Cricetulus griseus: one gene and its partners. The protein of the gene in region 2 interacts with the protein of the main gene of each other region in a biochemical or structural test. Links are inferred from orthologs where the notes say so. Each region holds a gene or a part of one and is shown on either strand. Other genes may lie near its edges. The genes, in order: Ptpn12, Pxn and Tln1.

Region 1 (3,648 bases), on a different chromosome or scaffold from region 2:
CCCAACAATGACATCAGGGACTGTCACTGACTCTTACTGGCTTTTAGGACACTGCTCCTCATTCTGCATTGCCTTGCCCAGCCTTAATACATGGGGTGATACTTAGTCTTACTGCAACTTGATATGCCATGCTTTGTTGATACTGTCCTTTTCTAACCTGAAACCCTCCCCGCACTCCCCCCCCCCCGGTTGGGAGAAGAGGAGGGAGGGGAAACTGCAGCCAGGATATAAAATAAATAAATTTTGGGGAGAAGAAAATACAATATACTTGTCAAACTTATAGCCATAGATATAACCGAAGGGATTAAAAAAGAAAAAAAAAAAAAAAAGACTGACCGGGTGTTAATGGCACATGCCCTTAATTCCAGGCAGATCTCTGTGAGTTCAAGACCAGCTTGGTCTACAAGAGCTAGTTCCAGGACAGCCTCCAAAGACACAGAGAAACCCTGCCTGGAGAAAAAATAAAGTTTAGAGCACAATCTAACTGAGCTAGATTCACCACTTAAAATGCAAAGTTTTTGTTACTGATTGCAGGTTGGCATGCTTAGGGTCATATGCTTGTTCATAAAGTAGCTCTCTAACTTTGTGCCTTCTGTGTTGTCTCCCACTGCATTGTTTCCTTTCACTGTTAAAAACATCTTTGTGTCTCAGATATAATTTTTAAAGTTATTGGTAGAGGTCAGAAAAGATATAGCATGGGTAAAAGCAGCTTTCTCAATTCTGAGATGTAAGTAGTATAGAAGGCACCATGTTTTTAGTTGAAAAAAATAAGTAACTATGGCTAGATAGATGGCTCAGCAGGTAAGGTCCCAAGTTGAATTCCTCACCACCACCTGTGACTCTAGCTCCGGGGGAACCAATGTCCTCCTCTGTCCTCCTTGGACTTACATACTCAAACACACAGACACAGTATTTTTTTTAACATGTATGAGTGTTTAAACTTCTTTTACACCTGTCTACACTGTGTGTGCCTGGTGCCCATAGAGGCTGGAAAAGAGTATCAACCGTTTCGGACTAGAGTTACAAACATTTATAGGCTCCCATGTGGGTGTGGGAAATTGACCTGTGTTATGCTTCCAGTTTTTATTATTTTCTTCATTAATATATTACCTTTTAGCAAAGGGGGAGGAGTTGATGTGTTCTGTTTGCTGGTGAGGATTGTACCCAGATTCTCTTGCATGCTCGACCCTCACTGCAGTTAAGCTATACTTAATCAGAATCATAAAGCTATAGAGAACAATTCTTTTTGTTAGAAGTTAGTACCTCTGAAGGTACAAGTATATTAGTCCTCTAGAAGCTCACATCTCTTGAGTAAGGTGGTACACACCTGTAATCACGGCTTTTGCGGGGCAGAGGCAGCAGGTACCTTTAAAGCCAGACTAGGTTATGTACTGAGACTCTGGCTGAAAAGGCAACATAACTTTAAAACAAAAGTTTGCCTTATGTACAGAGCTGAGAGACTGTAGCACACAGACGTGAAAGTTTGCGTAGGAAGAGTAAGATGGGCTGGGAACCATGCAAGTCTGAGACACAGGGGATGGGGCGGCCACACTGTCTGAAGAGGAGGACTTCGGTGTTGATGCCTCCCTGGTGTGCATGGCCTGACAGGACACACAGGGATCTGCTGGAAAGTTAAAAGAACTGATTGCCAAGAACTAAGCCATTAAAATCCCAAGACTTAACGGGAAAACAAGAAGTTCTAGAATGAAAGAAAACATGGTGTCATAAGTGTGAATAATACTAATGGTCGTAGATTTCTCTAAACAAAATAAAAAATATTGGGAAGGTAGAATAGGAGATAATTCCAAAGTAGGAAGTATAGCGTTTAAAACAGAAAGATTAAGAAGTAATAGCAGTGTCAACATCTTAAAATATTAAGGTGTATCTTAAAAGTAGCTGTAAATTTTTTTTCTTTTTCCCAATATGTACTCCTGACTGTCCTGGAACTTGCTATATTTGAGACCAGGCTGGCCTCAAACTCAGAGAGATCCATCTACCTCTGTTTCCAAGTGCTGAGACTAAAGGTGTGTGCTACCACCTCTCAGCCCTGTGGAAAAATTTTAGAGTAGGTACCTCTGGTTAATACAGACTAGAAGAGGGAACTACTTTTTTTCATTAAAGCCATATGACTTTAAAATAATAAATCTGGGCTGGAGAGATGGCTCAGAGGTTAAGAGCACTGACTGCTCTTCCAGAGGTTCTGAGTTCAATTCCCAGCAACCACATGGTGGCTCACAACCATCTATCAAGGTCTGGTGCCCTCTTCTGTCCTGCAGGCATACTTTCAGGCAGAATACTGTATATATATAATAAATAAATAAATCTTTAAAAAAAAGAATAAATCTGTGTTACCTTTATAAATGCAGATTTGTCTTAGTCTTACAAATCAGAACTTTATAACCATATTGTAATGGATTTTAATGTAATAGTTTTTGCTACAAAATTATCATTTGTCAACTTACTTTTAAAATGTTAAACATTGTTTAAATCAGTTTGTTGTTTTCCAGTTGCCTTGTAGAAGGGGATGCCAAGGAAGAAATACTGCAGCCACCAGAACCTCACCCGGTTCCTCCCATCTTGACGCCGTCTCCCCCTTCAGCCTTTCCAACCGTTACTACTGTGTGGCAGGACAGTGACAGGTACCACCCAAAGCCAGTGTTGCACATGGTCTCATCAGAACAGCATTCAACAGACCTCAACAGAAATTACAGTAAACCATCAGATGTTACAGAGAAAAATGAATCAACTGTTGAACACATAGATAAAAAATTAGAGCGAAATTTAAGTTTTGAGATTAAGAAAGTCCCTCTCCAAGAAGGACCCAAAAGTTTTGATGGGAACACACTCTTGAATAGAGCACATGCAATTAAAATTAAATCTGCTTCATCGTCTGTGGTTGACAAAACCTCCAGGCCACAGGAGTTAAATTTAGGTGATATAAAAGTTGATGTTCCTCAGAATTCTTGTGTGGACTGCGGTGCGGCACATTCAGACAGAGCCCCAGATTCTTCAGAAGAATCTCCAAACTCACACACACTGTCACGGCCAGACCGCTTGCCTCTTGATAAGAAAGGACACGTGACATGGTCATTTCATGGACCTGAAAATGCTACCCCTGTATCTGACTCATCTGAAGGCAAATCACCAGATAACCATTCTCAGCCTGTAAAAACTGTGAGTTCAACAGCAAGCTCTACAACAGAAGTGGAGGCTCGTGAGCTCGTGGATCCCCATAACAGCTCCCCTGTGTCGGGAGCATTGCTCAGCTTTACCAACCCTCTTCACTCTGATGATTCAGATGCAGATGAAGGGGATTCAGATGGTGCTGTGACCAAGAGCAAAACTAGCATTTCAACAGCAAGTGCCACTGTTTCTGCTGCCAGGAGTGCCGAAAGCGCTTCCACTAGGAAAGTGTTGCCAATGTCCATTGCTAGACAGGATTTGGGAGGAACGCTACATTCGGGTGCTGAAAAAGGTACTGTGGTCTGACTCTCGCTCTGTTGTCTGCCCATCTCTGTTCTACACAGTTTAGCTCTGTCCAAGCATTATGATATCACACCATACTGGAACCTACAGCAAAATTTAGGTGTAGTTTAGATAACATTTTTTAAATATTATTTATTTTTATTTCATGTACATTGGTACTTT
Region 2 (3,748 bases):
AGAGAGAATCAGAGGGCACCTTAAAATCCGACAGTGAAGCCATGAGCTCGTCCAGCTCCCTGGTAGCAGAGGAGGCCGAGATGCGTGTCTGCTGCTGGCTGGAGGTGACTCGCTGTGGGCTGCTCATCTCACCTTGGTTCACAGTGATAGCCGGGCTGTGGGGCAGGCATGGAGTCAGTAAGGAGCCCAAGGGTCAGCCCCAGGCTCCACGGGGGGGGCTCCAGATCAACGACACCTCCAACTCCAGGGAAGGCCACCAGAACCCAGCAGCACCTTAGGGATCCCCATCCCTGGGAAAGAGTGACTAGCTAAGAAACAGTGCTGAGGTGAGGTGACCAGAGAAGGTAGGTGGTTCACAGTACCCCTACAGGAAGACAGGGGCACCACTACAAAGCCTCTCAACACTATACACATGCGAGATTATTACACATCAATAAACACTGACACATGGTGGCTCATCCCTGTAACCCAGCACTTGGGAAGCTGAGGCAGGAGGGCTACTACATAGTGAGTTTCAGAAGAGTCTGGGATATAGAGTGAAACCCTACCTCAAAATAAACAAGACCTGACGCTATTAGGGGCTTCCCTAATAGCTGTGATTGCCACAGCTACGAGCCAGCCCCCACCCCCCCCAACATTATATACTATTATATACTATTTGGTCTCACTCTATTTACTATGTAGGGTCATCTCCATTATTACTGTCTGCTTTACCTATTTTATAGTTTATGTCGTATTTTTGCGCTATGGTCTCATGCAGTTCAGACTGTCTTGGAACTCACTTATATAGCCCAGATTGGTCTTGCACCTGAGATCTCCAAACCTCGACCTCCCAAATGCTGGGATTATAACCATGTGTCACCATGCCCTACTTTGGCTTATTCCAACTTATAGAGCGAGAGTAAGACTGTTGTAGCTGGCACAGCCATGATCTAAACCCTGTGCCACATCAGCAAACCTGTGCTAACCCTGGCTTTGCCGGGTCATGCCATATCCCCAGGACCTGGCAAGTAGCAGACACTGTAGGGAGCAGGTGACTTCAGGGCTGATGGACAGGTACCACACAGCCCGAAGACAGTCGGGGTGAGACTTCAAGAGCTTCCCCAGCCTGGGGAGACCCTAATGGATACTCACACAGGGCTAGGCACAGAACTCTCCAGTTCATCCAAGAGGCTCTCCACGCTGGGCCGCACATCCTCCAGGCCCCGGCCTCCATTTCGCTTTGGCTTCTCTTTCATCAGGGGCCCAGTTTTTCCTCCCAGGGTACTGTTACTCTCTGGGACACCATAAAGGGGGCTCAAGGCTCCAGGTAGTGGGGGGCTTGAGTTGGCTTCATCTTGGAGATAAGGAAACAAAATGGTTGCTCATCCCTGAGTCCTCTAGGAACCCAAAGGCCCATGAGTAGTCCAGAGACCCGCTCACACCTGCAGGGAAGCCTGAAGGGTTGTGCTGCACAGCGTTCAGTTCTAGTAACAGACGGTCAAGCTCCGAGAGGTTGTTGCCCAGGGAGGAGCTCATCATGGTAGGTGAAGGCTCTGCGGACTTGTGTTTGTTGGGGAAGCTTTGAGAAGGAGAGGAAACAAGTAAGACTCTTCTGCCCTGCACTGGATGTGGCAGGCCCCAGATTCTCAAGGCCGGAGGGGTGGAATGTTACCAAGTCTCTTCAGCAAGAAGGCGGAGGGTAGGGAAGGAATGTGGTAAGGCAAGGAGGAAGGAAATTTTGCTTCAGTTTCTCAACTACAGAGATGCTGTCTCTACAGAGAAGGCAGTGACAGGGCAGAGGGGAGCCAGCTGACAAGCACAGGGCCTGGCAGGGGCCTTCAGGCCTTCTATAGTTCCACCAGTGGCCCTAGGGTTTCCCAGAAGCCGGGCTGATGTACAGTGCTGGTTCTGTACCTGTAGACGTGTTCTTCCTCGCCTGCTCGGGAACAGAGAGCGCTGTCCTGAGGGTTAGAGGCACCGGAAGTCTTAGCACTGGAGCTGTACACAGGTGACGGGGATGGAGGCTGCAGAAGAAAGAGTACTTTACTCAGGCCACCCCCAGGCAGCTCCTGCTCATAGCTTGTCTCACCAGGGAATTTCCACAGCTAGTCAGGTGATTAATACTTGGTCACTGGCCCCTCACATGGTGGGTGAGAAGGGCAGTGTATGACTAGGAGCCCAGAATCCCAGTCCATCCCCAATGGCTTTCCATCTCCTCGGCAGATCAGCTCCTTTTACCACTCAGCCCCCAAGGGCTCCGCAGACCCCACCTTACCTGCTGGTGAGTGTATCGGGAACCACTAGGCTGCCACTGGTCTAAGGGGTCAAGGATCGTGCCATTGAGGGCCTCGCTGGATGGGGGTGGTGGAACAGGGGGTGGCACTGCAGTCTCCTGATAGGTATGGTTTCCAGTTGGGTAGGAGTAAGGGGGCTCCTCTGACAAGAACACTGGCCGTTTGGAGATGTGGGAGGTGGTTGATTCCAAGTCTGCCAGCAGGGCGTCTGCAAAGAGAAGACGTCCACTGGTGAGAGTTGGCCCTATTGGGCACTTCCCAGGGGCAGTGTCCTGCCTTCCTGAACTTGAAGAGATCCTGTCTGGCAGACACCTGCTGCTTCGATGGGAGAAGAGACCTGGAGTTTCCACATCGGCTGCCCGTCCTCTCCTCCCTCAGGGGTTAGATGCCTGGCTCTGCATTCCTCCTGACAAGGCTAGGCTGCTGCTGCCTGGTGTAAGCAAGAAATGCCTGCTTAGAACTCTGATTCCTGAGGGCAACTGGGAGAGCTGGGTGGGAGGAGTCCTACGTCATGTCACAGCACAGGGAGGGGCTGGGTAGATAGAGCCAGGTCCTCTCTGGACTTCTAAGAGCCTCAGCCCAAGTCTAAAGACAGGGGGTGGCCTTAGGGAGCACCTGTGCTCCAGGTAGGAGCGGAATTCCATGCTCTAAGCTCCTCCTGAGGCCCCAGGCTGTGGGTAAGGTATGCAGAGAGGTAGGGGGCTGGCATGAAGCCAGCTCGGCAGCAGCCACCCCCTCAACAAGCTGGGAGTAAGACTGCTCTGCCAAAGCCTGGCAAGCAGCCCAGCCCTAGAAACTCCAGGGCCCCATGACTCCGCTTTTAATGGGGGGTGGGTCAGATCTCCAACACAAGCTGCCATTACCCTGGCATGCAGTAGCCGACAAGAGGCTCAGGTTCTCGACAGGAAGGGACAGCTAGAGGGACAGGAGTTGGAGGTACTGACCTTCCTGCCATAGCCTCCCATCTTGGGACCTTCCACAGTGCCACGGCCTGGGTACAGTCCAGCCCCGCTCACCACACCCTCCCTCCTTCCTGCACTGCTCACTGACCTGCTCACTCTCAGCATCTAGTGACCTGCTTCCTGGGCCCTCGTGAGTGGCAATCGAGGGGCAGTGGCTGCACTGCACTGATCACCATCTACTAGGAACCACTAAAGGCATCTACACGCGTGGTCACAAACAAGTGCCCCTTCTGGTGACCTAAAAGGCCAAACTGTTGTCTTTGGAGCTGAGGAAAGTAGGCTTGGAGGCTAGCAGTACCTGCCCTGAGTGATAAAGCAGGAAAGGGCAGGATCACAAGACTCCTCAGACTCCTTAAGTCCCAGACACCAAGCCTGCAGGAGGGACTGCTGTGATTTCAAAGAGACAAGATACCAAATCTAAGGAACTCAACTTCCTACACACCAGGGGCTCGAGCTCTGATCCTTGCTGGCGGCCCTGTCTGTAGCTCCATTCCCATGCAGAGAAAAGGG
Region 3 (3,648 bases), on a different chromosome or scaffold from region 2:
CCTCCCACATGGCCTCCTGTCATGTGAGGCACTTACATTCCAAACAGTCCCCAGTCTCGCTTCAGTCAGCTGTGGCCAGCTGTGGCTCTCTGTTAACTGTGATGTAGGAGTATCTGCAAGGATTGACCTATAGTAGCTATTGAAGAAACGTTTTTTTGAGCCCAGCAGTGGTACCACAAGCCTTTAACCCAGCACTCAGGTGGATCTCTTATTAAGTTTGAGGATTGCCAGGGCTACACAGAGAAACCTTTCTCCAACACACACACACACACACACACACACACACACACACACACACACACCATCAGAAAGAAAAGAAAAGCTTTTTGAGGGAACACATGGATATGTGAGCTAAATCACATGACTGTCTTCCCGTCTTAAACGCTGTGAAATCTCCCATCTTTTTTCCCACAGGTCTTCTGTTCCCCAGAACCACCAGCCAAGACCTCTACCCCTGAAGATTTCATCCGAATGACCAAGGGTATTACTATGGCAACAGCCAAAGCTGTTGCTGCTGGCAATTCTTGTCGACAGGAAGATGTCATTGCCACAGCCAATCTGAGCCGACGTGCTATTGCAGATATGCTTCGGGCTTGCAAGGTAGAAATGCTGGTAGTGAGGTGGTGGCATGCGGGGATATGGGAGCCTTGAAAGCTAAAGCTAACCTGCTACTTTGGGAACAGGAAGCAGCCTTCCACCCAGAAGTGGCACCAGATGTGCGGCTTCGAGCTCTGCACTATGGCCGGGAATGTGCCAATGGTTACCTGGAGCTGCTGGACCACGTGCTACTGGTAAGGAGATGTTGCTCCTAGCCCTGACCCAGACCCACCCTACCACCTGTTCCCAAATCCATTCTCATTTCCAAGTCTCCTTCCTCTGGGACTCTTGTTCTCATGGTCTTTGTTTCTCCCATTCATCTCTTCTTCCTCTTCTCTTGTCTCCTTTTTTTCCTTCTCACCTCCCCTTCTCTACCTTTACCGTCTCTTCATATTTCATCATTCTCCTTGTTGTCAGCCGGTGAGTGACAGCCCCACACTTGACTGTGTGTGAAGCATGATGCACTGTGTGTACTTGAGTAGGACAAAGTGTTTGAGGGCTGTGCTATGAGTGCTCTAGAGATTAGGGCCGGGAGCATGGTCTGCCTTGTTTCACGGGTCAAGGTGGAACCTAGGATCTGATGCTCTTTGTGTACACTTTCCCTTCCCCCAGACCCTTCAAAAGCCAAACCCAGAACTGAAGCAGCAATTGACAGGACACTCAAAGCGGGTGGCTGGCTCAGTGACTGAGCTCATCCAGGCTGCTGAGGCCATGAAAGGTAAAGGGTAATGAGAAACGGTATGGTCTCTACTTCTTGGTTGGATAGCTCAGAGCTAGCCTCTGCTTCTAGTCCTCATAGGTGCCAGGGACTGGTGATGCTAAACAAACTCTCTAGTGGGTCTGACCTCCCTACCCTGCCTCAGCATCTTCCTTCTGTCTTCATCCCACAGGAACAGAGTGGGTGGACCCAGAGGACCCCACTGTTATTGCTGAGAATGAGCTCCTAGGAGCCGCAGCTGCCATTGAGGCTGCAGCCAAAAAGCTAGAGCAGCTGAAGCCCCGGGCCAAACCCAAGGTCAGAGCTGTTCCTTCGCCTTCCACCCTCAATAGGGGCAGGAGGTCTCCACCTTTGTCCCCTTTCTTACAGCTTCCCCACTCCCTGGCCCTCTGCAACCTTCTCTTTATAGGAGGCAGATGAGTCCTTGAACTTTGAGGAACAAATCCTAGAAGCTGCCAAGTCCATCGCAGCAGCCACCAGTGCACTAGTAAAGGCTGCATCAGCAGCCCAAAGGGAGCTGGTGGCTCAAGGAAAGGTCAGTACTCATCCCCAGCAGGATGAGGACAAGGTGGCAGATCCCATTTGCATCCTTAGCAGAGCGGCTTTGCAGGAAGGACAGCATAGGTCTAAGTGGGTTCCCTTCTTTCTTCTGCAGGTGGGCGCCATTCCAGCCAATGCACTGGACGATGGACAGTGGTCCCAGGGCCTCATTTCTGCTGTGAGTGTATAACATGAGGCTGGAATGAAATGGAAAGGGCCAGAGCACGAAGCATTTTTTAATCTTAACTCTCTTTCTCCGTTAGGCCCGCATGGTGGCTGCAGCCACCAACAATCTGTGTGAGGCAGCCAATGCAGCTGTTCAGGGCCATGCTAGCCAGGAGAAACTCATTTCCTCAGCTAAGCAGGTAGCTGCCTCCACAGCCCAGCTCCTGGTAGCTTGCAAGGTCAAAGCTGATCAAGACTCTGAGGCAATGAAACGGCTTCAGGTAAAAAACTCTACCCATCCCACTACTGCACCGCTTTAAACTGCCATTCCCACTCACACAATCCAGAGTGCCCAAGGAATAGTGCTGCTCACCGTGGGCAGTTCTTCCCACTTAATTAATGTAGTCATTTCCCCACAGATATACCCACAGGCCAACCCAATCCAGACAATCCTTCGTTTTTACTCCCTTCTCAGGTGATCTCAGATTGTGTAAAGTTGACAGTTAGCACTTTCACACCCGAGATAAGTTTCTTTATGGGCATCAAGGAACTCTGAACTAGAACCCTGAGTTCTCAGGAGGGGCTGTTTCTTCTTGTGCAGGCTGCTGGCAATGCAGTGAAGAGGGCCTCAGACAACTTGGTGAAGGCAGCCCAGAAGGCTGCAGCCTTTGAAGACCAGGAGAATGAAACAGTGGTGGTGAAGGAGAAAATGGTTGGGGGCATTGCCCAGGTGAGCCACCGAGGGACACTGTTGGGAACATGGTCTTGTTGCGTGCGCTATCCCACCCAGCCTCTGCCCTATGCACATCTTGTTGAGCTTTCTTGGCCCTTCATCCCCCAGATTATCGCAGCACAGGAAGAGATGCTTCGGAAGGAACGAGAGTTGGAAGAGGCACGGAAAAAGCTTGCCCAGATCCGGCAGCAGCAGTACAAGTTTTTGCCTTCAGAACTTCGAGATGAGCACTAGGGAAGCCATTTCTATTTAATGCAGACCCAGCCCAGAGACTGTGCCTGCCACTACCAAAGCCTTCTGGGCTGTCAGGGCCCAACCTGCCCAACCCCAGCACTCCCCTAAAGTGCCTGCCAAACCCCGGGCCTGGCCCTGCCCAGTCCCACTGCAAGCCCTGTCCTCTCCCTGACTCCAAGTGCCTTCGTACCCTAGGGCCCCTAAGTGCCTGTCCCTTCCCAGAGTATTAACGCTCCAAGAGTATTATTAACGCTGCTGTACCTCAATTTGAACCTGCCAGGGCCTCCGGCTGCTCCACCCTGCCAGCCGCTTCCAGCCAGTCCCCACAGCTGCATCAGCTCAACTCATCCTATTTTGATACTATATGGCCTACCCCAGCTACCTATGGAGCTTGGGGGTTGTAAACCCCAAAAAGGTCATGCTCCAATAAAGGTGATTCTACCTACCTGCAGCTGCAGCCTGGCTTTGTGAGGAGATGGAAGATCTTCCCCAGGGGTATTGGGGAGGACAGGAGTGAACTCTGTCACCTGACTTGATTGGCTCAGAATGGGAGCAGAGGAGATTGAAGCAGTCTGCCCATCAGGCCTCTTTCTCCTACCTGCACCCAGCAGTCACCCTACTTGGGAAACCCTGCCTGCAAAACCATTTTCTATTCCCATGT

The links.
Region 1: the proteins of Pxn (region 2) and Ptpn12 form a complex in vitro, tested with the Homo sapiens proteins (4 studies listed by BioGRID and IntAct, with this or other methods). The link is inferred for Cricetulus griseus from reciprocal best matches to the Homo sapiens genes PXN and PTPN12.
Region 3: the proteins of Pxn (region 2) and Tln1 form a complex in vitro, tested with the Homo sapiens proteins (3 studies listed by BioGRID). The link is inferred for Cricetulus griseus from reciprocal best matches to the Homo sapiens genes PXN and TLN1.

The regions. Positions count from the first base shown.
Region 1 is NW_023276806.1:173,476,574-173,480,221, forward strand, and holds part of Ptpn12 (tyrosine-protein phosphatase non-receptor type 12), read left to right. Parts: intron 1-2,507; coding exon 2,508-3,475; intron 3,476-3,648. UniProt on the Homo sapiens protein: Dephosphorylates a range of proteins, and thereby regulates cellular signaling cascades. Dephosphorylates cellular tyrosine kinases, such as ERBB2 and PTK2B/PYK2, and thereby regulates signaling via ERBB2 and PTK2B/PYK2.
Region 2 is NC_048597.1:95,638,672-95,642,419, reverse strand, and holds the start of Pxn (paxillin), read right to left. Parts: upstream 2,644-3,748; 5' UTR 2,629-2,643; coding exon 2,589-2,628; intron 2,485-2,588; coding exon 2,258-2,484; intron 2,007-2,257; coding exon 1,897-2,006; intron 1,562-1,896; coding exon 1,425-1,561; intron 1,337-1,424; coding exon 1,135-1,336; intron 156-1,134; coding exon 20-155; intron 1-19. UniProt on the Homo sapiens protein: Cytoskeletal protein involved in actin-membrane attachment at sites of cell adhesion to the extracellular matrix (focal adhesion). Recruits other proteins such as TRIM15 to focal adhesion.
Region 3 is NC_048595.1:99,984,045-99,987,692, forward strand, and holds the end of Tln1 (talin-1), read left to right. Parts: intron 1-414; coding exon 415-600; intron 601-683; coding exon 684-791; intron 792-1,209; coding exon 1,210-1,315; intron 1,316-1,487; coding exon 1,488-1,612; intron 1,613-1,724; coding exon 1,725-1,850; intron 1,851-1,970; coding exon 1,971-2,033; intron 2,034-2,118; coding exon 2,119-2,301; intron 2,302-2,621; coding exon 2,622-2,750; intron 2,751-2,861; coding exon 2,862-2,987; 3' UTR 2,988-3,438; downstream 3,439-3,648. UniProt on the Homo sapiens protein: High molecular weight cytoskeletal protein concentrated at regions of cell-matrix and cell-cell contacts. Involved in connections of major cytoskeletal structures to the plasma membrane.